3 linked regions of the Caenorhabditis elegans genome follow. The protein of the gene in region 3 interacts with the protein of the main gene of each other region in a pairwise test. Each region holds a gene or a part of one and is shown on either strand. Other genes may lie near its edges. The genes, in order: ima-2, R148.5 and tbx-42.

Region 1 (4,514 bases), on a different chromosome or scaffold from region 3:
TACCTTCGGACTGTCTGTTCCATTAATAGCGGCTCCCACTTTGATCATCATTTTGAGTTTGGATGTACTGCAATTAATGTGTGATTTAACGAATTATATTGAATTTTAATTATTGGAAAAAGCTGAGAAATTTGAAGTAACCGAGAAATAGCTGTGAAGAAGTTTAAAAAACTTTTTTAGGACTATGAGCCGGATCTTGTCAAGTTTTGTTATCCTAACCAAACATTATTGTGACAAATGCTTCAAGTGGAAATTATTTTTCAAATTTCGTGATAAAATCATTAAAATTAACGACAAAAGGCATCATTTCAGTTCAGCCGGAAGAAAAGAAAAAACAAGGGATATTGAGTCCAGATTAAAGGCGCAGACAATTTTCAGATGGGTCCCGCGACGAACACATAGACAAAAACGCGGATGTTCAAATTAGCGAGTGAACAGTTCAACAAAGAAACATGAATGCGTATTGAAAAATACGCGCATCGTTTTCCCGGTTATAAAAATCATATGTTCCACTTTCTTTTCATTCTAAACAAATTGTCAATTTAAAGTGAAGAGATCAGTTAAAACGGGGTCAAATATAAATACGGGTAATACACACAGATGAGGGTAATTCTAAAAAAAACAATCCAATGTTAAATGTGAGAAAGAAGAATGTTACTATGAAATGACTACTAGAATGATGATAAGTGTGAAATAATTTAGAAACTCCATTTGTTATCTTGTGGATCGGCATTCTCATGAGACTCCTTCTCTCCAGCATCATCGTCGGTGAAGAATTGAGTGATGATGCGGTAAGCCTGAGTATAGATCTGCTCCGATTGACTTTCCTGGAGGCGCTCCAAACTGTCAAGTCCACCATTCTCTTCGACTTGGTCGTGAAGAATGTCCACTTTGTGAGGGTAACTGGAATCACATTTTTGAGAGTGCTAATTATCTAATAAAAACATACCCATTCTGAACAGTGAGCATAAGAGTATACAGAGTCTCCAAAGTATTATTCAGCATATCAGTGTTAGTTTGAAGAAGGGCTTGGCACAAAGCAGGCACTACATTGTCTTCAAGCATGGCGACAACTTGACGATTTGTTCCCCCTTGAGCCAAATTAGAAAGAGCCCAAGAAGCCTCGAACTGGCACTTGTGATCTCCCGACTTCAGAACATTGATGAGAACTGGGAGAAGATTTGCGTCGAGGACAGCTTGAATCTGCTTCTGAGTTCCAGCAATAATGTTGGACACCAACCAGCAGCACTCCTTCACAATGCTTGATGATCGCGTCTTTTCCATCAATGGAAGAATTTCATCGAGTGATCCCAAGTCGATAACCGCCTGTGTCAGCGAGTCATTTCCAGTTGCAACATTACCAAGAGTTCGGAGAGCCGGAGCAACAAGGTTTTCAGCTTCTTTGAAGAAAGCGACGACGTGAGGAAGCACACCACTTTCTCGTGCCAATTCGATTTGCTCATCTGGTCCATCAGTCAAATAAGAAACAGCCCAGCATGCGTCTTGACGGACTTGACGGTCCGTGTGCTAAAGTGAAGACGTTAATTGCGATCGAACATTTTGACAATTACCTGAACAAGTTTGACAAGACCTTTCGACAGAACACGAAGAACTTCTAATGGGGCATGTGGATTCTTATGACGGCACATGTTGGAGAATGCCCATGCAATGGTACGAACATGCGAATCTCCCAGTTGATCGACTTTCTCCATCAAATGCATCAACGCCTCCACTCCATGGCATTTAATAACATAATCACGAAGTTGAGATGAGTCTCCAGCAATGTTAGCGACTGCCCACAAAGCTTGCTCCGAGATCTGCGCACTCTGATGAACTGAAAGATGGATCAGTGGAATTGTTACTCCGGCTTCAACAGCTGCAATTGTTTGCTCGGTGGAACCGGAAACGATATTGGTAAGAGCCCAAGCTGCTTCATATTGAACACGCTCGTTCTGAAAATTGGAAATTATTGAATGGAAATAAAGATCGACCTACCTCAACGCTCAATGCCTGAACCAAAGCCTGAAGCAAACCGCAGTGAATGACTTCATCAATAGGTGGATTCTTCGTCTTTGATAGTGATTTTCTCAACGACTCGAAGCATCGAACCATATCATCTTCCGATGGATTGTTGGAGAGAATAGCTCTAATCTCATCATTTGACAAACGGGTTGATGATTGCTGATGAGATATCTTCTCTGGCTCCTCGAGCTCCGATTCCGAATTGCCACCTTCATCGACGTCGACGATGTTACGGCGTTTCATCATCATGTCCGCTCCTTTTTGCTTTCGAATTTCAACACTGCATTCAGTACGACGACGACGGAGCTCCTGAACAGAACAAATAAATAAATCTCGCAATTACTTTAAATAAGTCGGATAGTAACATTTTTGCATGAAATCTGTTATCAATAATTTAACATACTTCATGCTTGGTGAGATTCTTGTACTGTTGAAGGCGGCCTCCCTCATCCTTTCCCTCTTCGGCATTGTGAGACAGGCTGGTTTCGGTGAGAGTCATAGTTAAGCTTCAATCTGGAAGAACTTATGTGAATATTAAACAAAAATAACACTATTAGAAAAAAGTAGGAGTTTCTGATTCGAAAAAGTTCGGAATAAATCACCTCCATACTTTTTAATAATAAATTTCGCAACGAGATAAATGGGAACTAGTTAAACAGAACTAAAATTTCATGAGAATATTACAAATTCAGTTGAAAAGAATGAGTGGTGAAACTATTTAAGAAAGAAAAGGAGGAAACATTGGGCGATGAAAGCAGAAATGAGCGCCGCGGCCCAAAATTGTTATCAAAAAGTGTAACCTTCGCGCCGAAATTCGAAATGTTGAAGCGAATAAGGCGCCAATAAAGAGCGTTGGCGCCAAACTGATTTTTGGCGGTAACTTAAAATCGAATTGTTTGCTTTTAAAAAATCGCATTAATGCGTATTCATGGAATGTTTTTGAGGAAAAGATTTATACTTCCGAAAATATATAGATTTTCTAGCCCTACAAAAATGAAAAATGCAGAAAACACAAACTCCAATATAAATACCACGATATATCTAACCTTAATTGTACAGTAATCTACCGTAGTTCTAAAAACGGTGCAGCATGCATTTCAACATGATTGAATAAAACATACTGTTGAATAAACAATACTTTATTCGAAAAAGTTCAACGAGCAATCACCATTCCGGAAGTTCTAGTTAACATTTTTGACAGTGTCTGATTTTTTCGTTTACTTTTAAAAATGTGAGTTCGAAGATTTCTGCTAACACATATCATTACAATTGGAGAACCAACAGTTAAAAAGTCTAGAGCTAAAAAGCTAAATCCATAAACGGGGCTTGATGCATCAGTGTATGAGAAGAAAAAGCTGTAGTATATCTGAATGTTCTAGATATTTTTTAAAATTCAGAAGTTAATAACCTGAAATAAAACTTTAAAAGTGAACCCAATGGATATGATAACCGTTGCATTAGAGATTGCTTTTTCTATTTCTTTTGATCTTTCTGGAAGTTTTAACAAAGTAATTGCAGTGCATATAAATGTAAATGATAATGCAATAATAATAAAAACAAGTTGAAAACGAGATTGGCTTGCCTGAAACAATAAATATTAAATATAATGTACATATTTAATGTGCTCCCAGCCTCAGTTCTTGTCACGAACAAGTGTGTTGGGTTACTGTACCCGCTTATCTTCTCGTTTTCCCAGAACTTTTCAATATTTCAGAATTAAAAAACGCATAATTCTAGAAATATGATCAACACAAAAAGAGAGAATGACAAATAGAAAGATTGATGATCTATCATTGTTGCGGGTACGGTAGCTGAAAAATTTTACTCGTCTCGGGATCCGAGACTGTTGAACAAAAAGTTCAGTCGAAAGTGTAGTTTTTCGCATGTGAGGTAATATGTCTAATTTGGTATAATCTGGAATCCTTAAAGTCACACTCATTTATTTTGTAAGGGTCTCTCCAGTTCATCTTTTATTTTTCTGTATGTGGTTCATTAAAACAGTTTCTTCAGTTTCTTTTAGTTTTAAAACAAAAAAGAAATGGAAACAGATGAACTTACCCAGCTAACTTTCTTGAAATAGCTAACCCAGAAACCTCCATACGTGGATTGCATGTAAACTCGAGATATAGCAATATTCCAGTCAGCACAAAATGGAATTAAAAAAACTGCACTAATCACATATTTCAAGCTTTTTCTCCATATTGAATCGTGCGTTATTGGAAACAGGACACACGTCATTCGATTTAAAACTAACAAAACTTGTAAAAGGGATTTACAAATTGATACATGATGAGTTAATAACATTATAATCTTAAACCCAACAAGCGGAGATTGAAAGTAATCAGCGAGAACAGGGCATATTGGTGTAAAGTAAATAAAGAAACGAGCAAATAAACCTTCTGTTATAAGAATTGATATGTTCTGAAGAAAGTACGGTGCCCATTTGAAACCTAATGAAACAACAGATTCAAACAGAAAGGTCTTACAGCGAA
Region 2 (7,325 bases), on a different chromosome or scaffold from region 3:
GGGCTCCATAAAACGAGAAATTCGCTTCTTTTGACATTTTAATCGATTTTCTGCCGAAAAATCGGCGAAAATCTGTTGAAAATCAATTAAAATCGGTTTTAAATTCATAAATCGCGCTAGAAACGGATACGGTGGCGGATTTCGCGTCGAGACCCGCTGCAATATCTTTTCGAATGCGCCTTTGAATGGGTACGGTAGAACTAGTTTTGCAGCATTTTTGCGGATTGATCCGCGGATTTTGATGGATTTTTCAGATAACAAAGTGGTTTTTGTTGTGGGGAAACTGAGAAAAACAGAGAAACTAGTCTTGCAGTAAATATTCAGCAAAACTATAAAAAGCTCAAAATATGACGTAAATTGATATTTTACGCGAAATCCAGTGATCTTCCAATCAAAATACAACTCAAAAACGCAAGTTTTGATGGTTTTCATGTTTTTTGAAAAAATATAAATACGCAAGTTAAACTACCGCTCGATTCTCCCAAAAACTGCAAATTGCGTACAATACATCAAACCCGACGAAATTTTGCGTACTTTTTCGGAAAAATTTGAATTTTTATTAGATTTTTATTTTAAATATAAATATTCAAGGAATGCGGCTTATTATAAATATATGTCAAAATACTCACAGAAAAAGGCACAATAAAGGGGGCAGGGGCAGTTCTAGATTAAGAATTTTTCAAAAATTACAATAAAATTCAACAATTTCCTTTTGTTGTCAAGACCAGTAATTGGCGGTTTATTATAGAATTTTGTAGTGGATGGAAGAAAGAATAAATGGGTTTTCAGGGGAAAAAATCGATAAAATATTCATTAATTAGTGGGCTGGGCAGCGCGTCGGCTATTTTCCTTTAGCTTCATCTTCTCAAAGGCTTCATAGTCAACTGGTGGAGAGTCGGGGCGGGTTATCTGCAAAAAAAAATCAATAATTTTTGAGAAAATCGATAAATTCCCAGAAAGTCGATATTGTACCAAAAAAAGACCAAAAAATCGATAATTTTTCGGAAAATCGATAAATTTCTAGAATACACTTTCTAAGAAAAATCGATAAATTCTCAGCAAGTCGATATTACCCCAAAAATCGATTAATTTACCAAAAAATCGGTAATTTCCTAGAAAATCGAATAATTCCTTGAAAATCGATGATTTAAAAAATCGATAATTCACTAGAAAATCAATAAAAAACCAATTACCTCCGTCTCGACCGTTTGCGATGCAACTTCGGCGTGCTCCGATCGATTCAGCGTAGCGTTACTTGTCTCCTTGGCGGCCATTGATCTGGAATTTGAAGTTATCAATCACTATCGATGCACCATGTTGAAAAATTGAGCTTCAAAAACTTATATCTCATTTGGCTCATTTGAATTTTACCAAAACTTGCTTCACTACAAAAATATAGGAAAATTAATAGCAAACATTTTGTTAGTTGGTAATTTTTTTAATAAAACCGAAAGCAACCAATATATAAGTGGTAAAAAAGTATTTGCTCGATGCACCATGTTTAAAACTTGCTCATATCTCGGCTGATTCTTGAGCTATCAAAATTTGATCAACTACAAAATTATAGAAAAATTCATAACAAACACTTTGTTAGTTGGCAATTTTTTGATAAAACCAACCGGAACAGCGATATGAGCTGAGAAAGTGTATTGCTAGTTGATGTACAAAGCACCATGCACAAAGTCAATTTTAATGCTCTTATCTCTGTGAATTTCCGTTCAATCTTAACTTTTCTTACCTCAAAGTTCCCGAAAAAGCTTTCTCATTGATATGTGGTTTTCTATAGATCCCAGCTTCATATTGATCCCAGGCGCTATCGGCTCTCGTGGAAGCCATCGACGCCGATTCCCCCTTCTTCAGTGTTCCTCGCTTCTTGAATGTATCATAATATGTCTCATAACCATCTCCACCATAATTAGCCGGTTGATAGCTAGCCTCCGGGAATCCTCCAGTTGCTCCAACATAAGCTGGCTCTTCATAAGCTCCTCGACGCATTGTCCCATAAACCGACTCTGGCCCAGTAATAATTGGTCCACCATCAGTCGGTGGGCTACTAGGCCTCATGAAATGTGGTGGTGGTGGAGGAAAGAACGGCGGGTATGGTCCACCTCGGAACATCATTGGATGCGGGGGCGGCATAAATCCACGTGGTGGTCCCATACCGAAATGTGGTGGTGGAGGCATAAATGGTGGGGGCATACCTCGACCCATAAAATGTGGTGGAGGAGGTGGAAAGTGTCCACGTGGCGGTGGAGGGAAGAAGCCGAATGGCGGAGGCATCATTGCATAGGGATGGTGCATCGGATGAGGAGGTCCGTATGGATGATGTGGTGGGGGTCCACGATAGGAGAGATCATTGTCGGAGCCAGCGCGGCGGAGGGGCTCGTCGAACGGGACAAGGGCTCCGCGGATGCCGCCTGAAAATTAGAATATTAGAGAATAAAAAAAATAGAGAATCAAAAAATGGTCAACTGACAAAATCTTTATGGTTTTTTTTTAAATAACCGGAAATTTGAGCAATCAAAGGTAGGCAACGTTTTTAACATGGTGCCTCAGGTTAGCTCAACTTTGACTGCTCACAACTCGGTAGTCGTTTGTTGTATCCAAAAATTGCCAACTGACAAAATGTTTAATATTGGTTTTTCTAAAATTTTGCGGTTGAAAAAAACTGAATAGCTTAAAAATCACCGGAGATATGAGTGATCAAAACCTGGCACCGTTTTGTACATGGTGCATCAATTTTCCCTTCATTTAACAGCTTATAACTCGGTTGTCGTTTCTTTTATCAAAATTTAGTCAACTGACAAAATGTTTATCATTATTTTTTCTATACCTATAGTTTTGCAAACAATAACTCAATTAAAATGAACGGAGATATAAGCTCTCAAAGCTTGGCGCGATTTTTCTTATGGTGCATCGTAACAGTTGTCTTTGGCTGATTTGGCTGAACTCGGTTGTCGTTTATTTTATCAAAAAATTGTCAACTGAGTAAATGTTTATTATAAATTTCTCTATAATAATGCACTGAAAAAGAATTTAATAACTTCAAAATGAACTGAGATATGATCAGTTACAGCTAGGTCTGCTCATTGTGCATCGAGCTAGCTGATCTTTGACAGCTTATAACTCGATTGTCTTTAGTTTTACTAGAAAATTGACAACTGACAAATTTTTTAGCACTGCCTCACAAATGTTACTTATTTTAGCAAACACCAATATCTTAAAAACGAACAGAGATATTTTCAATATACTAAGTCACCTACCCTGCTCACTAGCAGCTTTCTTATTCTTATTCACCAAACTGCTGCTAATCGACACACTATCATATTCTCCGTCCTGCTGCCGTCTTTCTTGCCAATTTTTCATATTCTTCTCCTCCGGGACTACATCTTCCTCAAATGAGTTTTCCTCAATCTCACTGGACGGGGAGTTTGGTGATCGGTCACCAGTTGATCCTTCCTTGATTGCTTTTAGACCTGGAATTTTTTTTTGAAATTTATCTTTTTCAATTTTATGATGAATAGACATTTTTCTAATATTTCGAAATATACATGTTTTTTCTAAACAAACCAATATATGAGCTGCCAAGGGAACATTTTGAACATGGTGCATCAACCAGAAATACTAAACTCAACTTTTACCGCTTATATCTTGGTTGTCTTTGGTTTTATTTAAAAAAGTGACAACAGACAAAATATTGAAAAATGTATTTCTACATTGTTGTGAAAAAAATTGAGAAAAGGGTCAAAATGAAAGGAGATATGAGCCGCCAAAGTCCAGTACTTTTACAAGCTAGTATCTCGATTCTCATTGATTTTAGAGAAAAGTTATAAACTGACAAAATGCTTGTTATATCTTTTTCTATAATTGTGATGTTATAAACTATTTGATAACTTAAGAATAAGCCGAGTTATAAACGTTAAAAGGCATCATTCAAAAATGGTGCATCGACCAAAAATACTGCGCTCAACTTTGAGCGCTTGTATCTCAATTTTCAGTTGACATAGAAAAAAGTTATAAGCTGACAAAATATTTTTCATATTCTGCTCTATAATGTGTGTAGTTATAAATTATTTAATAACTCAAACAAGAATTAAGATATAAGCAATCAAAGTCATCATTCAAACATGGTGTATCGACCAGAAAAACTTCATTCAACTTTGAACGCTTGTATCTCGATTCTCATTGGTTTGAGGAAAAATTATAAACTGACAAAATATTATTTATATTCGGCTCTATAATTTTGTAGTTATAAATTCCTTGATATCTAAAAAATGAACCAAGATATATAGCAATCAAAGTGATAAGTCAAACATGGTGCATCGACCAGAACCACCGCACTCCACTTTAACCACTTATATCTTGGATATATTTGATTTTATAAAAAAGTGTTCACTAAGAAAGTATTTGTCATAAAATTTTCTATATTCTGGTTACAAACAGCCTCACCTGGAATCCTCTCGTCCATTCTCAAATGCATAGTTTCTGTGTAGGCATGCACCATACACCTGACCAATGCATTTGCTGCCTTCACATTTGTACAAATAAATCCATGACATTCGAGAACCTTAACCCCAGTGGTTCTTCTGAAGATTGCCGCGAAAATTGGCGGATGTGGGGAATTTGGGATATTCGCGAATGGGCTGTCGAGTGGCATAAACTGTTCTCCACCACCGCCAACTTTGAAGCCTTCCACATTTACGTAACGAACGGCGGCACAATAATGGAGAGTTATAATTGGGAAAAAGACGGTTTCAGTCTTCTTTTCGCCTTCGATGTACTCCAAAAGGACTCCGTTCGACCACACTGATAGCCTGGATATTAAGATTTTTAAGTTATTGATAACATTTTTGAATTCAGCTTAAAAATAGCTTTTAATTAAGCCCCATCATGACTATATTCCGACTATTTTGAATTTTGACACATCCATGCGCCAAAAAAAAAAATCAACTTTTCGTGGTGGGTCCAACATTTGTAAATTAATCGGAGTTTAGCCAAAATATGACGACTAGTTAAATAATGAGAATTCAGAAAAATAGAGCACAGTAACCCAAACATTTTCGTTTTCGTGGCGGGACCCAAATTTTGAAATGAACGGGATTTAGCCAATATGGGTTTTATTTGAAAGCTCAAAGCGTGTTAAATGTGAATTTGAAAATTGTTTTTTTATAACTCGCGTCTTCGAATTTTTTGGAAATTAAAAAAAAAATTTTTTTCAAAAAGCAATAACTCAACTAATTTTCAATATTTTTTTGAATTCTTACCACAAAATTAAGCTGAATTTTCAATTTTTAAATAAAAAATATTTAACTCTTACCATGAGTCAATTCCACGTGTATCTGGCGATTCTTGAATCGGGTATCTCTCCTTCAGTGGCTGCTGGATGCCTTGTAGGCCGTCTTTTGTGATTGTAGGCACCGAACTGCCGATGTATAACACTCGGCATCTGCACAATGGCAAAGGCATCTGGAATGTATTGGAATTTTTGGGAAAAAGTAGCGTAAAATAAAAGAGAAATGTGCGGGCAGAAAAAAATTTAAAAAATTTCTTAAATAAAAATAATTTTTTCAAATTTTTGCAGTTTTTATTTGACCAATCGATAGAAAATTTTACGCTGATCATTTTTGTCTCTTGCAACTTTTTTCTATCTCTAACCATTGCAGAGATATTTGCACTTAAAGTTAGGAGGAAGAGAGAATGTGGGGGAGGGGGAGACGCAGACGCTCTGCCTTTCTGCGTCTCGCCTCCCCCCGCGATCACTCGCCGCGAGAAGGCGCGCTAACTTTAAGCGGCTATAACTCTGCAGTAGTATGAGCTAATAAAAAAGTTTTAACAGGTAAAATGTGCAGAATTTTTGGAGAATATTTTTGCAGTGAAAACTTTTTTGAAATACCAATTGGAAAAAAGTTAAGAGGAGCCTAAAAAGGAGCCTACAAAAAACAAGAGGAAAACGTTAAAATTGGTAGAAAACACATAAAATGGAAGAAAAAAACAACCTTTCACCATAGAGAGTAAAAAAACAGTTCCAAGTAGAAGCTTCTCCCTTTCTCCAAGAAAAAAAACTAGTAATGGATACTGGTTATTAGCAGTAAGTAATAGTGTCTAAAGGAACAATATATATATGTGGATTGACATAAACACATTCCTTCCCTCCACAAGAGATCAAGGATGACGATACGGATGGAAGAAGACGTGCGGGAAGAAGACGAAGGGGGCATTGTAATGAGGAGTGTCCTTCGGTGAGGGGGAAAGAAAAAAGATTATCAGTGAGATATCTTGGAACTGATAAACACTTCCCGACAGGAGGTCATCACGGATTAGGCCGACTACTTTGTGGTACATTTATAATTGGGTTAAATTATGTTTTCCACTAAATATTATAATGCCCCATAAAATTTTATACAATTTTGTAATTGGAACTTTTTAAAAATGTTCACTTGTTGCAGAGTTATGGAGGTTTCAAGCTAAACCTCCGAAAATATTGTGGGAGGGGGAGAGACGCAGAGAAGTTGGAGGCTCTGCGTCTCCCCTCTCCCACATTCTCTCTTCCTCCAATCATTAAACGCGATTATCTCTGTAATGGATAGAGATCGAAAAAAGTTGCAAGAGACAAAAATGATCGGCGTAAAATTTCCTATATAACTTGTCGTAAATATCAAGAAATTTTGGGAGGACTATATTTTTTTATATTTTTCGCTGAAATTAGTAATCTCTATTTTTCGGACAGCAAAATAATCTAAACAAAATTCCTTACATTTTACCAGTTGGCACTTTTCAGAAAACTCTACCCACTGCAAAGTTACACCCGTTTAAAGTTAGCTACATGGAGAGAGCAGAGGGGGAGGCGAGACGCAGAGAAGTAGGAGGCTCTGCGTCTCCCCCTCCCACGATATCTCTTCTTCAAACTTTAAAGGCGATTATCTCTGTAACGGGTGGAGATACAAAAAAGTTACAGTATCCAAAAATTATCAGCGTAAAATTTTCTATCAAATGAAAAATAGAGAAATGTGATAATAAAAATAAACATTTTGAGGTTTTTCAAAATTTTGAAAAAAAAAACTTGATTTAACCAACAAAAACGATTTCCAAATCGTTCACCAAAAGTACAGTGGAAATAAGAAAAGGCTGTAAGCGGATTTACAAGCGGCTTCACCGACTAAAACTTAAACGCCCGGCAACTTTTTTCCCCTCCCTCATAAATCCGTTGACTACCGAATGCGGGAAGAAAACGATGGTAAAAGTGAAAAGAACAACTGCTGGGAAAGGTAGTAATGGGATGGTGTACATGGGGTGTAAACATTCTGGGAAAATGGTTAAATCTTTTA
Region 3 (3,637 bases):
GCTGCCGTGGAGCATTTGGAACTCCTGACAAATGTAGACAAAGCAGAACTGCAATGCTTTTCAAAGATGCTTGTCCAACTGCATATTCTTATGCTTATGATGATGCTACTTCCACTTTTACTTGTAAAAATGCAAATTATGTAGTTCAATTTTGTTAATTGAGTGGGCTTAAATTTCTGGATAAATGTTCTGGGTTTTTTTAAAGCATTTTCAGAAAATTTCTGCAGAATTTCGCAGCCTGATTTTATTTTTGAAGCGTGCTTTTAACTGAACATAATAATTAATTTTTAAATCTTATTGGAATGAAAATTAATAAATGAATCACAAAACAGGTTAAATTTAAATTTATCGACAACAAAATCAAATATAAAAGGACAAAAGAAAGAAATTTTAATGATATCAAACATAGAAAACATGGGGAATCATTGATATTCACAGGAAGAATAAATAATTAACTATCAAAGGGGAGCAATCATGAAAAGAACAAAAAAGAGTAAATTATTTGAAATGGCTATTCGAGTAGTTAATGGGGGTTTCTATTTTCATCAAAATATACATTTTCTGGGGAAAATGATTGGAAAGTTGGATTGAAGTAATAAGAGTAATCCATTGGAGAGTATGGATATGGGATAGATGAGTCAAATGGAGAATATGGATGGAACGGATATTGATACTGGTTTTGGGATGAATAGAGTGGAGAAGAAGGAATATACTCAGTTAGATTACTCTCGTTTTGATTCACAAGATATTGAGACGTTTTCACTTCTAGAGTAACTTCAGAATTATCCACAACATCCTTCTTTACAGGCTTCTTCGATGACCTTTTTGATGGTAGTTGTCCAGCTGCATCAGAAGTTTTTCTTTTTATTCCACCTTCTGACCTATTTCCAAAAGTTGAATGCTTGTTCAAATCAGACTTCCATCTTCCCATGGAAGCTTGCTGATAAATTGAAACTGGGAAGAATTGAGCAATTTCCATTTTAAAGATATTTGAGGCAATTTCTCCGGTTGTTAGGTTCCTGATTGTAAGCACAGGCACGTACTTGTGCATTGTGTGAACATAGAACTGAAATAAATAGTTTTTCAATAAATTGATTAAAGCAATAAAAATAGAAACTAACCACATTCTCCTTTTCTGATAATTTCTCACTTGTTGTAATCCTCACTGAAGTGAATTCAACTGTTTCAGCCATCAATTCTTTTCCAAGTTTTGTTCCTTCTGGATGAAAGAAAAACTTCATATTATGATGTGGTTTTGGTTTACGAGCAGACGATGGAGCCCATTCTTTGTTTTCATTTATTCCATATCTGAAATAATTAGGAATTTATTTAATTTTTGTAAAATAATCAAAATTACCTGATATTATCCATCTTTTCAAGTGACAGTACCAATACATATCTTGAATTTTCTTCCAATCCAGAGATTTTGAATTTGATTTCAGGGAAAATTGGAGTAATTCTTTTACTGTTTGAAATCATTTCCATATTTGGATATCTTTCTTTCCATAGTTCTTCATTTGACATTTTCACAACGATTTGAGTTGATGGATTCATCGCAGAGACCTTTATCTGAAATTAAAAACGAATAGAAAAATTAAAAAATATATATAAAAGCAAAAAGAAAGAAAAAAATGAACTGTATTCTAACCGGAATGTTGTAATGAATGATTTTCTGCCTCCATGCTCATCTTGTTTCAGAGCACACACAGCAGGCGGAGTCTGAGCACGGAGGCGGGGTCCATCCAATTATCGATTTCCTGAGAGCTAACATATTCTCAAAGACGTCAATAAATAACAAATATATTAACGATAAGAAATTAAAGGTTATAGTAACAAGAGATTGAGAATTGAAACAATTTTTCGAAATTAAGGTTTACCGGAAAAAAATTGGGTTAGTACAATACCAAATACGATACATTTATATTTTTATAAAAATACAGTTCGAACAGGAAACAAGACGACGACTAGCATGTGAGTGATATGTTTTTTTTTACAAAATTAGTGGGTATTTATTGAGTTAAAATGAAAGTCTTATTGAACTGACTTCAAAATTGTTTGATAGAATCTTTTTAAAATTGTACTGTTTCATTCATTTATTTAAAGCAGTGGATAGGATGAGCCAATTGGTATTTTCTTATGAAAACTTCGGCATCATATACATTGCAAATTATAGACGAAGACGTTTCATTGTCAAAACAAATTAGTTTGGTGTTAATTTTGGGCTCTTTGGAATTTTCAGAAACTGTGAAACGTATAAATTAGGAAATATTTTTTCTCAGTTGAACAGTAAGCGCAAACAAGGCATTTTTTAAATAACGTGGCTAATATTTTTAAAAGATATAGTAAAAAAAGAAACACTGACCTAAACTTTTAGCCCAGAAAGTCAAACAAATCGTTATCAAATTGATATTAATCTGAAATAACTCAATACAAATTTGGTATACAATCAAAGCACAAGATTTTTCCTACTTTGTTTTTAAAAACAAAATGAAACATGTGAACATATATGATATTGAACTAATAATTTTCTTGAAGAAACTCAAAAAACCCTGAAAGGTTAAGCTTTTTTTTAACTCAATGTCGGTAAACTGGTTACATTAGGTTATTTTTTCCTCTCAAATTCAAAGAAGAAATTGCAAGTTTGAAAATGAAATGCTACTTTAAGTTTTAATTTCTAATATTTTCCACAAAAAATCCTCGGTCTTGTATTTTAATCTCCTGTTTTTATATTGACCCTTATTCATTTCCCATTGTCTGTCAATATAGTTGTCATTCCAATGATGACAATATCAGTTCAGCCTAAAAAATGAAAAATAACTAAAAGGAGGATAATTTATTGTTGCTTCCGTGATCAATATAATATTCCATTTCACATCTTTAACATACACAGAGGCTGAAAATCCTGACAAAATGTATTCCACCCAATTTTTATATAAATTAATTCCTTATTATTACCGAAAGCACCTATTGTCATCATTGGAATGACAACTATATTGACAGACAATGGGAAATGAATAAGGGTCAATATAAAAACAGGAGATTAAAATACAAGACCGAGGATTTTTTGTGGAAAATATTAGAAATTAAAACTTAAAGTAGCATTTCATTTTCAAACTTGCAATTTCTTCTTTGAATTTGAGAGGAAAAAATAACCTAATGTAACCAGTTTACCGACATTGAGTTAAAAAAAAGCTTAACCTTTCAGGGTTTTTTGAGTTTCTTCAAGAAAATTATTAGTTCAATATCATATATGTTCACATGTTTCATTTTGTTTTTAAAAACAAAGTAGGAAAAATCTTGTGCTTTGATTGTATACCAAATTTGTATTGAGTTATTTCAGATTAATATCAATTTGATAACGATTTGTTTGACTTTCTGGGCTAAAAGTTTAGGTCAGTGTTTCTTTTTTTACTATATCTTTTAAAAATATTAGCCACGTTATTTAAAAAATGCCTTGTTTGCGCTTACTGTTCAACTGAGAAAAAATATTTCCTAATTTATACGTTTCACAGTTTCTGAAAATTCCAAAGAGCCCAAAATTAACACCAAACTAATTTGTTTTGACAATGAAACGTCTTCGTCTATAATTTGCAATGTATATGATGCCGAAGTTTTCATAAGAAAATACCAATTGGCT

What was found.
Region 1: the proteins of tbx-42 (region 3) and ima-2 interact in a two-hybrid assay, tested with the Caenorhabditis elegans proteins (one large-scale study listed by BioGRID).
Region 2: the proteins of tbx-42 (region 3) and R148.5 interact in a two-hybrid assay, tested with the Caenorhabditis elegans proteins (one large-scale study listed by BioGRID).

What each region holds. Positions count from the first base shown.
Region 1 is NC_003279.8:6,313,254-6,317,767, reverse strand, and holds ima-2 (Importin subunit alpha-2), read right to left. Parts: upstream 2,536-4,514; 5' UTR 2,522-2,535; coding exon 2,426-2,521; intron 2,332-2,425; coding exon 1,996-2,331; intron 1,953-1,995; coding exon 1,572-1,952; intron 1,528-1,571; coding exon 950-1,527; intron 904-949; coding exon 699-903; 3' UTR 501-698; downstream 1-500. Other genes in the region: hrpk-1 (Heterogeneous nuclear ribonucleoprotein K homolog), read right to left, coding at 4-51; srg-14 (Serpentine receptor class gamma-14), read right to left, coding at 3,176-3,388, 3,431-3,604, 4,081-4,443. UniProt on the Caenorhabditis elegans protein: Nuclear transport receptor that mediates nuclear import of proteins, and which is involved in sister chromatid cohesion. Binds specifically and directly to substrates containing either a simple or bipartite nuclear localization signals (NLS) motif.
Region 2 is NC_003281.10:3,164,426-3,171,750, reverse strand, and holds R148.5 (PID domain-containing protein), read right to left. Parts: upstream 5,467-7,325; coding exon 5,318-5,466; intron 4,815-5,317; coding exon 4,450-4,814; intron 3,477-4,449; coding exon 3,264-3,476; intron 2,418-3,263; coding exon 1,739-2,417; intron 1,279-1,738; coding exon 1,194-1,278; coding exon of another isoform or gene 1,167-1,193; intron 910-1,166; coding exon 814-909; 3' UTR 555-813; downstream 1-554. Other genes in the region: R148.4 (MARVEL domain-containing protein), read right to left, coding at 1-37.
Region 3 is NC_003282.8:5,232,322-5,235,958, forward strand, and holds tbx-42 (Putative T-box protein 30/42), read right to left. Parts: upstream 1,555-3,637; coding exon 1,358-1,554; intron 1,309-1,357; coding exon 1,122-1,308; intron 1,067-1,121; coding exon 524-1,066; downstream 1-523. Other genes in the region: thn-5 (Pathogenesis-related protein 5-like), read left to right, coding at 1-158. UniProt on the Caenorhabditis elegans protein: Involved in the regulatory network to control embryonic patterning and morphogenesis. Implicated in negatively regulating vab-7 expression at the anterior of embryos.